Ovis aries: one gene and its partners. The protein of the gene in region 2 binds, or shares a complex with, the protein of the main gene of each other region. Links are inferred from orthologs where the notes say so. Each region holds a gene or a part of one and is shown on either strand. Other genes may lie near its edges. The genes, in order: TMEM107, B9D2 and CEP290.

The links.
Region 1: B9D2 (region 2) and TMEM107 share a complex: the UniProt entries of both Homo sapiens proteins name them as parts of the tectonic-like complex. The link is inferred for Ovis aries from reciprocal best matches to the Homo sapiens genes B9D2 and TMEM107.
Region 3: B9D2 (region 2) and CEP290 share a complex: the UniProt entries of both Homo sapiens proteins name them as parts of the tectonic-like complex. The link is inferred for Ovis aries from reciprocal best matches to the Homo sapiens genes B9D2 and CEP290.

What each region holds. Positions count from the first base shown.
Region 1 is NC_056064.1:27,637,252-27,641,002, reverse strand, and holds the start of TMEM107 (transmembrane protein 107), read left to right. Parts: upstream 1-903; 5' UTR 904-1,060; coding exon 1,061-1,147; intron 1,148-1,305; coding exon 1,306-1,373; intron 1,374-1,474; coding exon 1,475-1,575; intron 1,576-2,309; coding exon 2,310-2,406; intron 2,407-2,640; coding exon 2,641-2,710; 3' UTR 2,711-3,751. UniProt on the Homo sapiens protein: Plays a role in cilia formation and embryonic patterning. Requires for normal Sonic hedgehog (Shh) signaling in the neural tube and acts in combination with GLI2 and GLI3 to pattern ventral and intermediate neuronal cell types.
Region 2 is NC_056067.1:50,068,586-50,072,336, reverse strand, and holds the start of B9D2 (B9 domain-containing protein 2), read left to right. Parts: upstream 1-948; 5' UTR 949-1,146; exon of another isoform or gene 1,147-1,154; intron 1,155-1,568; 5' UTR 1,569-1,572; coding exon 1,573-1,660; intron 1,661-3,751. UniProt on the Homo sapiens protein: Component of the tectonic-like complex, a complex localized at the transition zone of primary cilia and acting as a barrier that prevents diffusion of transmembrane proteins between the cilia and plasma membranes.
Region 3 is NC_056056.1:124,381,188-124,384,838, reverse strand, and holds part of CEP290 (centrosomal protein of 290 kDa), read left to right. Parts: coding exon 1-26; intron 27-790; coding exon 791-955; intron 956-1,943; coding exon 1,944-2,051; intron 2,052-2,764; coding exon 2,765-2,899; intron 2,900-3,651. UniProt on the Homo sapiens protein: Involved in early and late steps in cilia formation. Its association with CCP110 is required for inhibition of primary cilia formation by CCP110.

The DNA of each region.
Region 1 (3,751 bases), on a different chromosome or scaffold from region 2:
GAAGTTGTGACTTGACTGTTAGCCGTGAACTCCGGCGAGAACTTTCCGTTCTACAGGAATCACCTTTAAGGTCCGAAGGTCCGTGAGGTCCCAATCGTGAGAAATGCTTGGACTATAGCTGGGCAAAGAGACTCTGCTGGTCACACCTCCAAGAGATAAGGAAATCGTAGACTCTGAATTTCCGCCTTCGACTCTTGCCTCCCAGGGACGCGGGGTTTCATTCTCTTCCTCCACTCCCTTTTCTGGTCCCGTACGTCCACTTCCTTCCCGCAACACGCCTCTCATCCACACCCTAGTTCAGGAGAGGGGCTCTTTTCTGTACTCTGCAAATCCCTCACCAATCTGAGCGAGCTGGGTGGGTGGTTGGGTGGGGAATCAGAATCAAGGAAAGTTCAGGTATACGGTCCGCCAACAACCAGGGGCTCCAGGACAATAAAGGGGCATCCACCTCTCCAAGTTCGGCCTAGGTCAAGGAGAAGCTACACGGATGCGGGGGATGGAAGAAAAGACAGTGTCCAGGGCTCGGGCATGTTGACGCCCTAAGGCTGGAGTGGTGGTGACTGTGGTGTCTGGAGGATCATCTTGGGCAAAGTAGCAGGGGCTGGGGGCCAGGCCGCTCCCGGCATGGGGATACAGGGAGGAGCGAGTGTCCGAATTTCCGTTCGCCAGTGCTGTGTGGGCAGACTCGGCAATGGGGGGCCGCGCCACAACACACTCTCAGGCTGTGCAGACAACTCATCTGCACGCGGGAAGGCCGGCAGCTCGATTCTCCGCATCCGGTCGGGATCTGCACAGGTATTGTGGACCCGGAACAAAGTTTCCCAGAGGCCCGGAGGCGGCGCGATAATTTGCCGCTCTCGCGAGACTTTCAGAGGTCCCGTCGGAGCCATCGTTTTTGCGGTTACTAAGGCAACTGAGCGGTGCCAGCGTAAGCGGGAAAGCGGCGTACGTCGAATTTTTGTCTGCTAGCTTGGGAGACTTGAGGAGTGACCCTCCTTGAGCTTCCAGCCCCAGAGACAAACGGCCTCTGCTCCAGGCGGTACCTCTTCCCCTGGGAACCATGGGCCGGATCTCAGGGCTCGTGCCCTCTCGCTTTCTGACGCTCCTGGCGCATCTGGTGGTCGTCATCACCTTATTCTGGTCCAGGGTAAGACCCAGGGCCCTCTTCTCGTTCCTCCTTCCAATTTGGGGTGGTCCCAGCCCCACTCCACCCTTTCTCTCCCGGGGCCTTACACGGTGGGGTCTTCCCATATCCAGCCGCCAGACCCTCTTTCAACTTCTGTTTCTTTCTGCCCTGCTCCCTAGGACAGCAACATCCAGGCCTGCCTGCCTCTCAGATTCACCCCTGAAGAGTATGAGAAGCAGGACATTCAGTGAGCATGTGGGACAGGGTGGGCAGAATTAGGCAGTAGAGGGAGTGAAGGGGTCTTAGAAAAAGTTCAGAAGGCCTAAGCCACTTCCTTCTTTTCTGCAGGCTGGTGGCAGCGCTCTCTGTCACCCTAGCTCTCTTTGCAGTGGAGCTGGCTGGTTTCTTCTTAGGAGTTTCCATGTTCAACAGCACCCAGAGCCTCATCTGTATCCTTTCTACGTGTACTCCTTTCCTCCTCGCCCTTGTCCACCATAACGCCCTTCAGCCACTTAACTAGGCCTTTCTGGCACAATGGCGTTTGCTCTAGCAGGCAAACAGAATCCCTCCTGTGGAGAGATGTTAGGCAATGTGGAAGATTTAATACAATCTCTGATCACTTTTTGAGCTCCTGCTACTCACCAGGCACTGGAGATCTCAAGATGAGAGTACAACAGTTTTCTATCTTGAGGAAGAGGCAGATACACAGACATCTGCAATTCAGTGTGATAAGCACGGGTGCCATCAGATGTTAAGATACAAAGCACTATGGGAATGCCGAAGAGACAAAGGAAGTGAGGAAGATGGATCAGGGAAGGCTCTCAACACCAGGGTACTGGAGAGTGATCCCAGCAGTGTATTGTGTCACTGTGAGCATGTCTGTGTGCTTGGAGTAGATCAGGAGTCTACTACTTCACCTGAAGGATCCAAACTAGATATGGGATGGAGGTAGCTTGGTTTCCCAACAGGGCAGGCTCAGCTCTGGCCTCTACACATGGCCATCCTAAAACCCAAAAATCTGGGCTGCTGGCTCTGGCCTTTGCAGTGTGGTAAAGGGAGCAAGAGATGCCTTGCTCACCAGGAGCTGATTGTGAATGCAGATGCCAGGCCCATCACCGGCCTTTTCTGGCTCATCACTACCTGTTGACCCAAAGGCTTTCCTTGACTCTGGTGTATTCCCAAGCCATCGGGGCTCACTGTAGTGCATCTGTGGCCCTATCCTTCTTCATATTTGAGCGTTGGGAGTGCACCATGTATTGGTACATTTTTGTCTTTTGCAGGTATGGTAGCACCTAATGTTTGAGGATGGGGAAGGGAGGTTTACTTTAAATCTGAAGATTCCCCTACCCAGCCCTTTGTTCCATGTGTAACATACCAGATCCACTCAACATTCCCGAGTCTTTTTGAAGTCCTCCACTCCTACACTTCAGGGGGTCGGGGGGTGGGATCGCTGGCTTGGGGATCTGGGTATTTTTATTAGAAGAAACTCTGAACCCATCACCTGCCTTCCTCAGTGCCCTCCCGGCTGTCACCGAAATAACATTATTCATCAGCGTCTTTGGCCTGAAAAAGAAACCTTTCTGATATCTTCGTGACTGGAAGTAGGGATGAAGGCTGAAGGAGCGAAGGACTACTCACCCTTCCTGGAAGAGGGAGGCTTCAGCCCTCCTTCTAACACTGCGTTTGGTGAACGATGTCAGTGTTAGGGTAATTATCTCTCAAGTCTGGGATTATCTGTGTTTTGTTTACAGTCCTTTGTAATAAAATATATTTTAGGGTAAGATCAAACTTACAGGAATTCCTGCAGGAATTCCCTGGCTGTCCAGTGGTTAGGACCCCACGCCTCCACTGCAGCGGGTTCAGTCCCTGGTGGAGCAACCAAGATCCTGAATGCTAGGCAGCGTGGCCAAAAAAAAGAAAAAGAAAAAAATCAAGACAAAAATTTCAGGAGAAAATTGGGGTGGCCAAACTACTATAGAAACGGAAGGCTGTTTTCCAGCCTTGCACTGTAAGACCCTAAATGTCGCTTCTATTCTAGTTATTACGGTAGATTTCTGACGGAAGGGAGTGGGCGGAGATATGTAAATAAGGTTATACTTTAGTACCTCGAGCTCTTAAAGTGAGTGAAGCATTCTGGGAGGGATTAGCGTTTGCTTTTTGACAGCCAAATGGAAAAATTTATTTTAAAACATCTGCAAATAAATTGAACAACAGAAGTGGAAGAACCTGGATAGCTTTAGATGGCTCGAACTAACATGTCGTTTACTCACCCTACCTGTTAGCGGAGTCTTATTACCGGAGTACGGAATATTGCAGTCCTCTCGGTATCGTCAGGTAGGATAATCCTTACCTGTTCCTCCTTTTGGAGGGCAGAATAGAACATGATGATTGGAGCTCGCATGATTCGTGATTAACGGCTCTGCGTAATCAGGACTTGCAACACCCTGATTGCTCCTATCTGATTCTTCCTGGCGATCCGTGATGTTAATGTACTTTACGATTAGATTGAGTTTTTAGTACTGTCTCCTTAGTTGTACTTGAAGTAGCGTCGGGCACGACTGAGCGACTTCGCTTTCATTTTTCACCATGCGTTGGAGAAGACAATAGCAACCCACACCAGTGCTC
Region 2 (3,751 bases):
AAACTCTATCCTCCTCTCATTCTGCCTCATGTCTGGAAATACCTTTCTAACCTGCACACAATCCACGACACTATCCTATTGAAATGTTGCCCCCCTCCCTATCACTTTGAGCTGGTGACTCTTAACTTTTGCTGTTCCCGTTTTACAATAAGTAGGGGAATAAGTTCCCTTTGGACTCCTGGTCTGGGCTGGAGGAATAAGGCAGGAACTAAGGTTCAACTGAACTTGGAGGGTGGAGAAGGTACTGCTCAGGAAATCAGAACGTGAGTGCCTGACTCAGTCACTCCACTTGGGGTCATGACATGGATGAGATAACTGAGACTTAGAGCTGTGCAGGGTCCTGTTACTGACAGAGTCCAGCCTTCAAAAACAGGATTTTCTGCAGATAAAGTGGCCTCAGTTCCTCATTTCTCTTACCCCTTCCCCCACCCCACCCACTCATTGCTCAGAATCAGCACTAACAATGAAGAAATGGGCGGTATTTCTGAGAAGGAAGTTGGATTTATCAGTCTTTGAGGAGCTTGGGGGAACTCTAAAAAGGAACCCCGCCAACCAGATGAAGTTTATTTCCAGTTAGGAGGCAAAGGGATGCATCCAAACTTGTGAGATTCCCCCGTAGCTCTGGCTCAAGTCTGTCTTGCGGTCCCTGTTGAGAGACAGTTTGAGGGGTAATGGGGCATGGATGGATTTGCTTATTCTGTTATACGAATATCTGAGACAGACAGTGTTCAAACTTCTTCGCCGCGCACAACATGGCCACAACCGGGCCACGCCGCAAATGGCTGAACCTTGGGTCGTGGCTGGAGAGACTTCTTACCCAAAAATGGAAACGGGTGGGGAAGAAAAAATGTCAATCACAGCATAGTCCCGCCCCGCCAAGTGCCGCTAGGGCCAATTAGCAACCCGCAGGGCGGGTGCAAGGCCAGGGGAGGAGGCTGCCGTTGCCCCAGCAACAACCTGGGAGGCAGGAGGCGGGCGCGGTCTCGGAGAGATCTGCGCCTCAGCTCTCTCGCTGCCAGGAGTGTCTTAGGAAAGGCGTGAGCCAGACCTGGGAAGTCAGCGCCTGCGGAGAGAGGGACAGGTCAGGCCCATGAACTCCAATCCCCGCCAGCGCTCTCGCCTCTCCTAACCGTTAGGTATTCTGAGGTAGGAATAAGGCATGCGCGAACTCACAGGCGGAGCTAAGGCGCCCAGCAACGCATGCGCCTCATGGACTTGGGGGGGCGGAAATCTGACGTGGGAGGAGGAGCTTTTGTGTTGTGGGCGGAGCCACTTGGGCCCCTGGGGCGGGACTTTCCGCGGCGTTGAGCCTAGGGAGTTATTTTAGAGGCAGGCAGAGTAACGCGCCAGCTCCTTGGAGCGTCCATTTCTCGCCCCTCATTTTTCTGAGACTCTCCTGGAGGGGCAGTTAGTATCATGGTTGAAACCGCAACCTCAGTGGTTTGACGAAACTAGCTTGGAATCCCACGTATTGCTCCTTACTTGGTGGGCCTCAGTCTTCCCTTCTATTAGGTGGAGATAATTGTACACTTTTCTCATAAGGCTGTGATTATATTTTCCCCTTTCAGGGCAATGGCTGAGGTGCACGTGATCGGACAGATCATGGGGGCCACCGGTTTCTCGGAAAGTAGCCTGTTCTGCAAGTGGGGCGTCCACACAGGTATTCCCCGACATGGTTCATTTCCCCACCGAAACCTCTCAGTCTAGCTGCTCCACCTTCTTTCCTTGACCCCTTGGCTCAATCCCTGGTCCTTAGCTTCCGTCAGTTCTCAGGACTCCTATCCCTGACCACATTCTGTTCATGCGAGTCTCAGGCTCCCTTCTTATCCCTTCCCATCCCACCTCTGGGAACTCTTGAGTTCCAGTCTCTCAATACACATTCCCTGAGGGCTTCCTATGGTGGTGCTAGTGGTAAAGAACCTGCCTGTCAATGCAAGAGACATAAGAGACATGGGTTTGATCCCTGGGTCTGGAAGATCCCGTGAAGGAGGGCATGGCAACCCACTCCAGTATTCTTGCCTGGAGAATCCCATGGACAGAGGAGCCTGGTAGGCTACAGTCTATAGGGTCACAAAGAGTCGGACATGACTGAAGTGATTTAGCACACACAGCAAGGATAGGGGACTATAGGCTTGACACACCCGCCTACCCCCAGCACACACTCCCAATCCTCAAAACACTTAAAACCCCAACAACACTATTTGGCTTCCATTCACTGTCTTAGAGGTGCTTTGGCCTTGGGTGACTCCCCCATCTTAATTCTTTGCTTTGCCATCTCCATTTATTGAATTCTTAAGGTGAAATGGAAGTTTCCATCTTGCAACTAAGACGAGAGACCACCCTCCTGTATTCATATTTCTCTGTGAAAACGTAGGAACCTGGTTCTGATCGTCATCCAAGTCCATCCACATAAGCCCAAGAGGGACCGTGGAGGTCCCAGTTTTCATGCCTTTCCATCAGAGGCAGTAGAGGGTTGGTGGTTAGTGTGATAGGGCCACAGGTCACCAAGTCTGGGCTCAGATACAAACTCTCTTACCTATTAATTGGGAGCCTTTGGACTTGACCTTTTTGAGCCTGTTTCCTTGTCTGAAAATGAAGCTAATAGCACCTAAGAGGCAGCAGAGTACTAAGAGGTTAAGAGCAGAGACTACCTGGATTCAAAACCAGCTCCTCTTTATTAATTATGTGACCTTGGGCACTTGTCTTTGCCTTGATTTCCCTGTCAGTACAATGGGAATAATAACACTGTATACCTCATGGGGTTGTTGTGAGGACTACATGAATATCAACAGCCCTTAGAAGAGAACCTGGATTTGTAAGTCCTCGTAAGTGTTGCCTGGCTTGTGTAACAGCTGGATGGGCTCTTGTTTCTAAGCCTGGGATATGTTGTCTAGCAGAGATACATGTCCATGAAATGAGTGTGCCCATTGCCATCATCATCTTTTTAGGTCCAGAGTCCTTTGTGATTTCGCTGGTGGATAGACTAGTGGCTGAGATTCCCTGGGAAACTGGGATCCTCCAGTTGAGTGAATAAGACAAGCCTGGAATCAACTCGGTTTCCAGCGCCCTACCACTCATCTGTTCTGTGACCCTGCCTCAGTTTCCTGGTCCGTAAAATGGGACTATTTGTCCTTCATAGCAGTGTCAGGAAGTCTTGTATGTGAGAATCCTGACTCAGGGTCTGTTGCTTTCCTCACTTGGCCCAGAAGGGAGCAGTAACCAACATGATTTTTATTATTTCAGGGGGCTCTTCGCCAGGGAGAGGAGGTTAGTTATGCAAGAGAGAGCCGAGAGGCAGTCAGATAAGGGGCTTGGTCTCTGCTATCAGTCAGAACTCTATTTGAGGAACTTCGCTGGTGGTTAAGACTCCACACTTCCACTGCAGGGGATGCAGGTTCGATCCCTGGTCGAGAAACTAAGATCCCTGCATGCTTCGAGGCGCGGTCAAAAACAAATAACAAACAAACCAGAAACAAACCAGAGCTCCATTTGAATTAGCACCACTGTGGGACTTGGTCTGCTGCGGTCCTGCTGTAGCCTCAGCATGGAGAACAGTGCTTGGCACAGAGAAGGTATTCGGTAAAGGTTTGTGGAATGAATGACCAAGTGCCATTCCTTCTCAGAGTCTGTTTCTTTACCTGTAAGATGAGGATTGTATTAGCCCCCACCTCCTAGGATCATTTCTTTGTCCAGCAAACACGTATCGAGCACCTTCTGTGTACCAAGATCTGAGTTTGCGATCCTAGGGATC
Region 3 (3,651 bases), on a different chromosome or scaffold from region 2:
TAAAGGATGCCAGGGGAGCCCAAAAGGTAAAACACTGATTTTAAGTTCAGAAGAGTTTAATTTTCAGAAGAGTTACATAATAATTTTGAGTTAATATGTGCCTATGTGGAAAATGCTTAATATATGAGCAAAATTCCAGATATAATTTATTAATTTAGATTTTATAAATTAGGAGTTTGAGCTATTAGAATATCTGTTTATAAATAAAATGAGACTCCTCTAAGCCATAGTTTCAGTAGAAATGCTTAGATTGTAGTATCAAAGAATTTTAAACACTCTAGGAAAGTATATATTAATTAAATACTAACTAATTATTCTTAAACATTATAGTGATTAAACAAGTAGTAGGCCTACATTTATTTTTTAATGTAATTTTGTTTTTACTCTTATTTGGAAGGAATTAATGAAAAATAATTATTTTGAAATTAAATTTTATTCTCTAGGCTAGAAACATTTGGGATTTTTATTTATGAAAGTAAAACCAATGTTGCAATTACATACAAACACTAAGGACCCAACAAATACATGAAAGTAAATGAATAAATAAATGTGATTGTTAGTGATATCCATTTCAGCATCTTTTGAAAAATGCTTTATGTTAGGAGTCTACATATTAAAAAAGTCTATAGAAATTCTAAATAAACTTTTCTTTTTGGTACAACCAAGAATAATTTTATATCTTATTTTAGAATGTCCATTAATTTGAATTGAAATCATTAAAATCAGTAGAGAAATTCATTATTTATTAATATAGTATTAACATTTGTATATGTAATTTATAAATATTTAGGTAATCAGTTGGCACACAAAAATAGAAGAACTCCGTCTTCAAGAGCTTAAACTCAATCGAGAATTAGTCAAAGATAAAGAAGAAATAAAATATTTGAATAATATAATTTCTGAATATGAGAACACAATCCGTAGTCTGGAGGAAGAAATTGTGCAACAGAATAAGGTTTCATTTTATATTTATTTTGGTGTTTTGTTGCTAAGATTTTTAATATAACAACATTGCATTGATGACTGCCTTATTTTCCTAATCAAGTATAGCTTCTATTATCATTCTTATAAAATATTGTTTCTTATTTTTTAAACTATTCTAAAAATACATTATTCATTTATTTAGTTGCATTAGTTGTCTTAAAAGGAAGAATTCATAAACAAGTTTATTTGTTAAGTTAATTTTTGTTTCACTATTGGTTATTTGAATTCACCTTTACAAGTTTCTACTGCTGTCACTGAAGGAATAAGGCAGCTTGGTATAGAATAAAGAACAGAAGCTTTGGAGACAGATGCAGTTCACTAAGCAGATGCTTACTTGCCTTAGAAATTTTGTTGTTCCTTCTGCTTAAATTGTTCTTACCTAAGATACCAGTATTACTTCTGCTTTCACTGCCTTCTGATCTTACCTCTAATGTATTACCTTATCAATGAGACCTTCACTAGTTACCCAACACACAACAGTAAATTTTATCATCAAGATTCCTTAAATACGGATTACCTAGTTTCATTTTACTCCATAGCACTCATCGCCCTCGGACATATGACATACTTATTTGTTTACTATCTCCCCCTCAGTAGTATATAACTCCTGTGGTGAAGGGGACTTGGTTTTGTTTATTGCTGTGTTCTCATTGTCTCAAATAGTACTTGCCACATAGACTGTGTCATTAAACATGCTTTGGATGAATGAATGGATGGATGGATAAATGGATGGGTACATGGATGGGTTGAAATCCTGACTCCACACCTGCCTGTCCTTGTGATCTTAGGCAAAAATTACTTAATCTCTGAATTTTCTTCCTTTTTCCTTAAAATGAAAATAATAACAGTGACCTCAAATGGTTGTTGTGAGGATTAAAGAAGAAAAATGTATGTAAAAGTTCTTCTCATAGGCCTGGTGAGTGTCTCTGTGTGTGCATGACCCAACTATCCTTCTTTAGTTTCATGAAGAAAGACAGATGGCCTGGGATCAGAGAGAAGTTGAGCTGGAACGTCAACTAGATGTTTTTGACCGTCAGCAAAATGAAATACTAAGTGAAGCGCAAAAGGTATAAATGATTAATCCTATTTGCTACTCTATAGCAGGACCTATAATGTTAACCAGTAGAAATGTTTTCTAAGGTTGGATGGAATTTTATTTTTATTTTTCTGTTTTTTTTTTAATTGGAGGATAATTGCTTTACAGTGTTGCATTAGTCTCTGGTACACAACAGTGTGAGGCAGCTATCTGTATACATACGTCCCCTCCCTCCTAAGCCTCCCTCCCAGTCGCCACATCCTACCCCTCGAGGTTGTCACAGAGTACTGAGGTCAGCTCCCTGTGCCATACAGTAGTTTACCAGCATCTATCTATTTTACATGCGGTAGTATTTATACTCTTTCAATTCGTTCCACCCTCTCCTTCCCCTGCTGTGTCCACAGGTTCGTCCTCTACATCTGTGTCTCTATTCCTGACCTGCAGATAGGTTCATCAGTACCATTTTTCTAGCTTCCATGTATATGTGTTAATATACGATATGTGTTTTTCTCTTTCTGGCTTACTTCACTGTATGACAGACTGTAGGGGTCATCCACATGACTACAAATGACCCAATTTTCTTCTTTTTTATGGCTGAGTTGGAATTTTAATTGATGATATCTTTTTATGTGTCAACTATAAGTGAAATTTAACCATGTCTTGTCATATAGTTGTAAAAATTAATATTGTTATTTCCAATGTTGCAACTGCTCTTCTTTAAAAAAAAAATCTATTTCTCAATAGTTTGAAGAGGCTACAGGATCAATGCCAGACCCTAGTTTGCCCATTCCAAATCAACTTGAGATTGCTCTAAGAAAAATTAAGGAAAATATCAGAATAATCCTAGAAACCCAAGCAACTTGCAGATCACTGGAAGAGGTAATTAGAAGAATTTGCATATTGTTGTTGTTCAGTTGGCAAGTCTGACCCTGTCTGACTCTTTGTGACCTCATGGACTGTAGCATGCCAGGCTTCCTGGCCCCTCACCATCTCCTAGAGTTTGCTCAAGTTCATGTCCATTTCATTGGTGATGTCATCCAACCATCTTATCCTCTGTTGCCCTCTTCTCCTTGCATTTTGATAAGTATATTATTGGGTATACTTCTGGAATTTTATAAGTAATATTTTTAAATGAGGATGAAGCATAAAATGATGAATCTGTTGCTTATTCTACTCTACTTTTCTTTAGTCTTTGTTTTGCCAATAAAGAACAGTAGGTATGGCTAATTTGAAATCACTCTTCTTTTAGTCATTACTTATCACTTTTGGGCACACTCATCAGTTGCTAGCATGAAAGGAAACCAAAAGAGCATTTGACTGTAGCTTTATGAGCAATGTGTTTCCCTCCCTTCAATGATCAAGAATTGTTTTCATCCTTGTTTATTTTTATATTTTATTTTGAAGCATATGTTCTAAACTCTGGATCAATTTTTAGTTTACTTCTTTTCGTGGGTGGTTAAAGGGCTTGAAGGTAAACTAGGAGTTGTTTCTTAGTTTAATCTAGGTCTTAAATTTGGTTAATAGATGGTCAGATCTCTCTTTATTAAATTATACAGAAAATAGTATAAACTGAATATATTTAGATGTCAACTAAAATGAAAATCATATTACTATAAATACATTTAAAATAA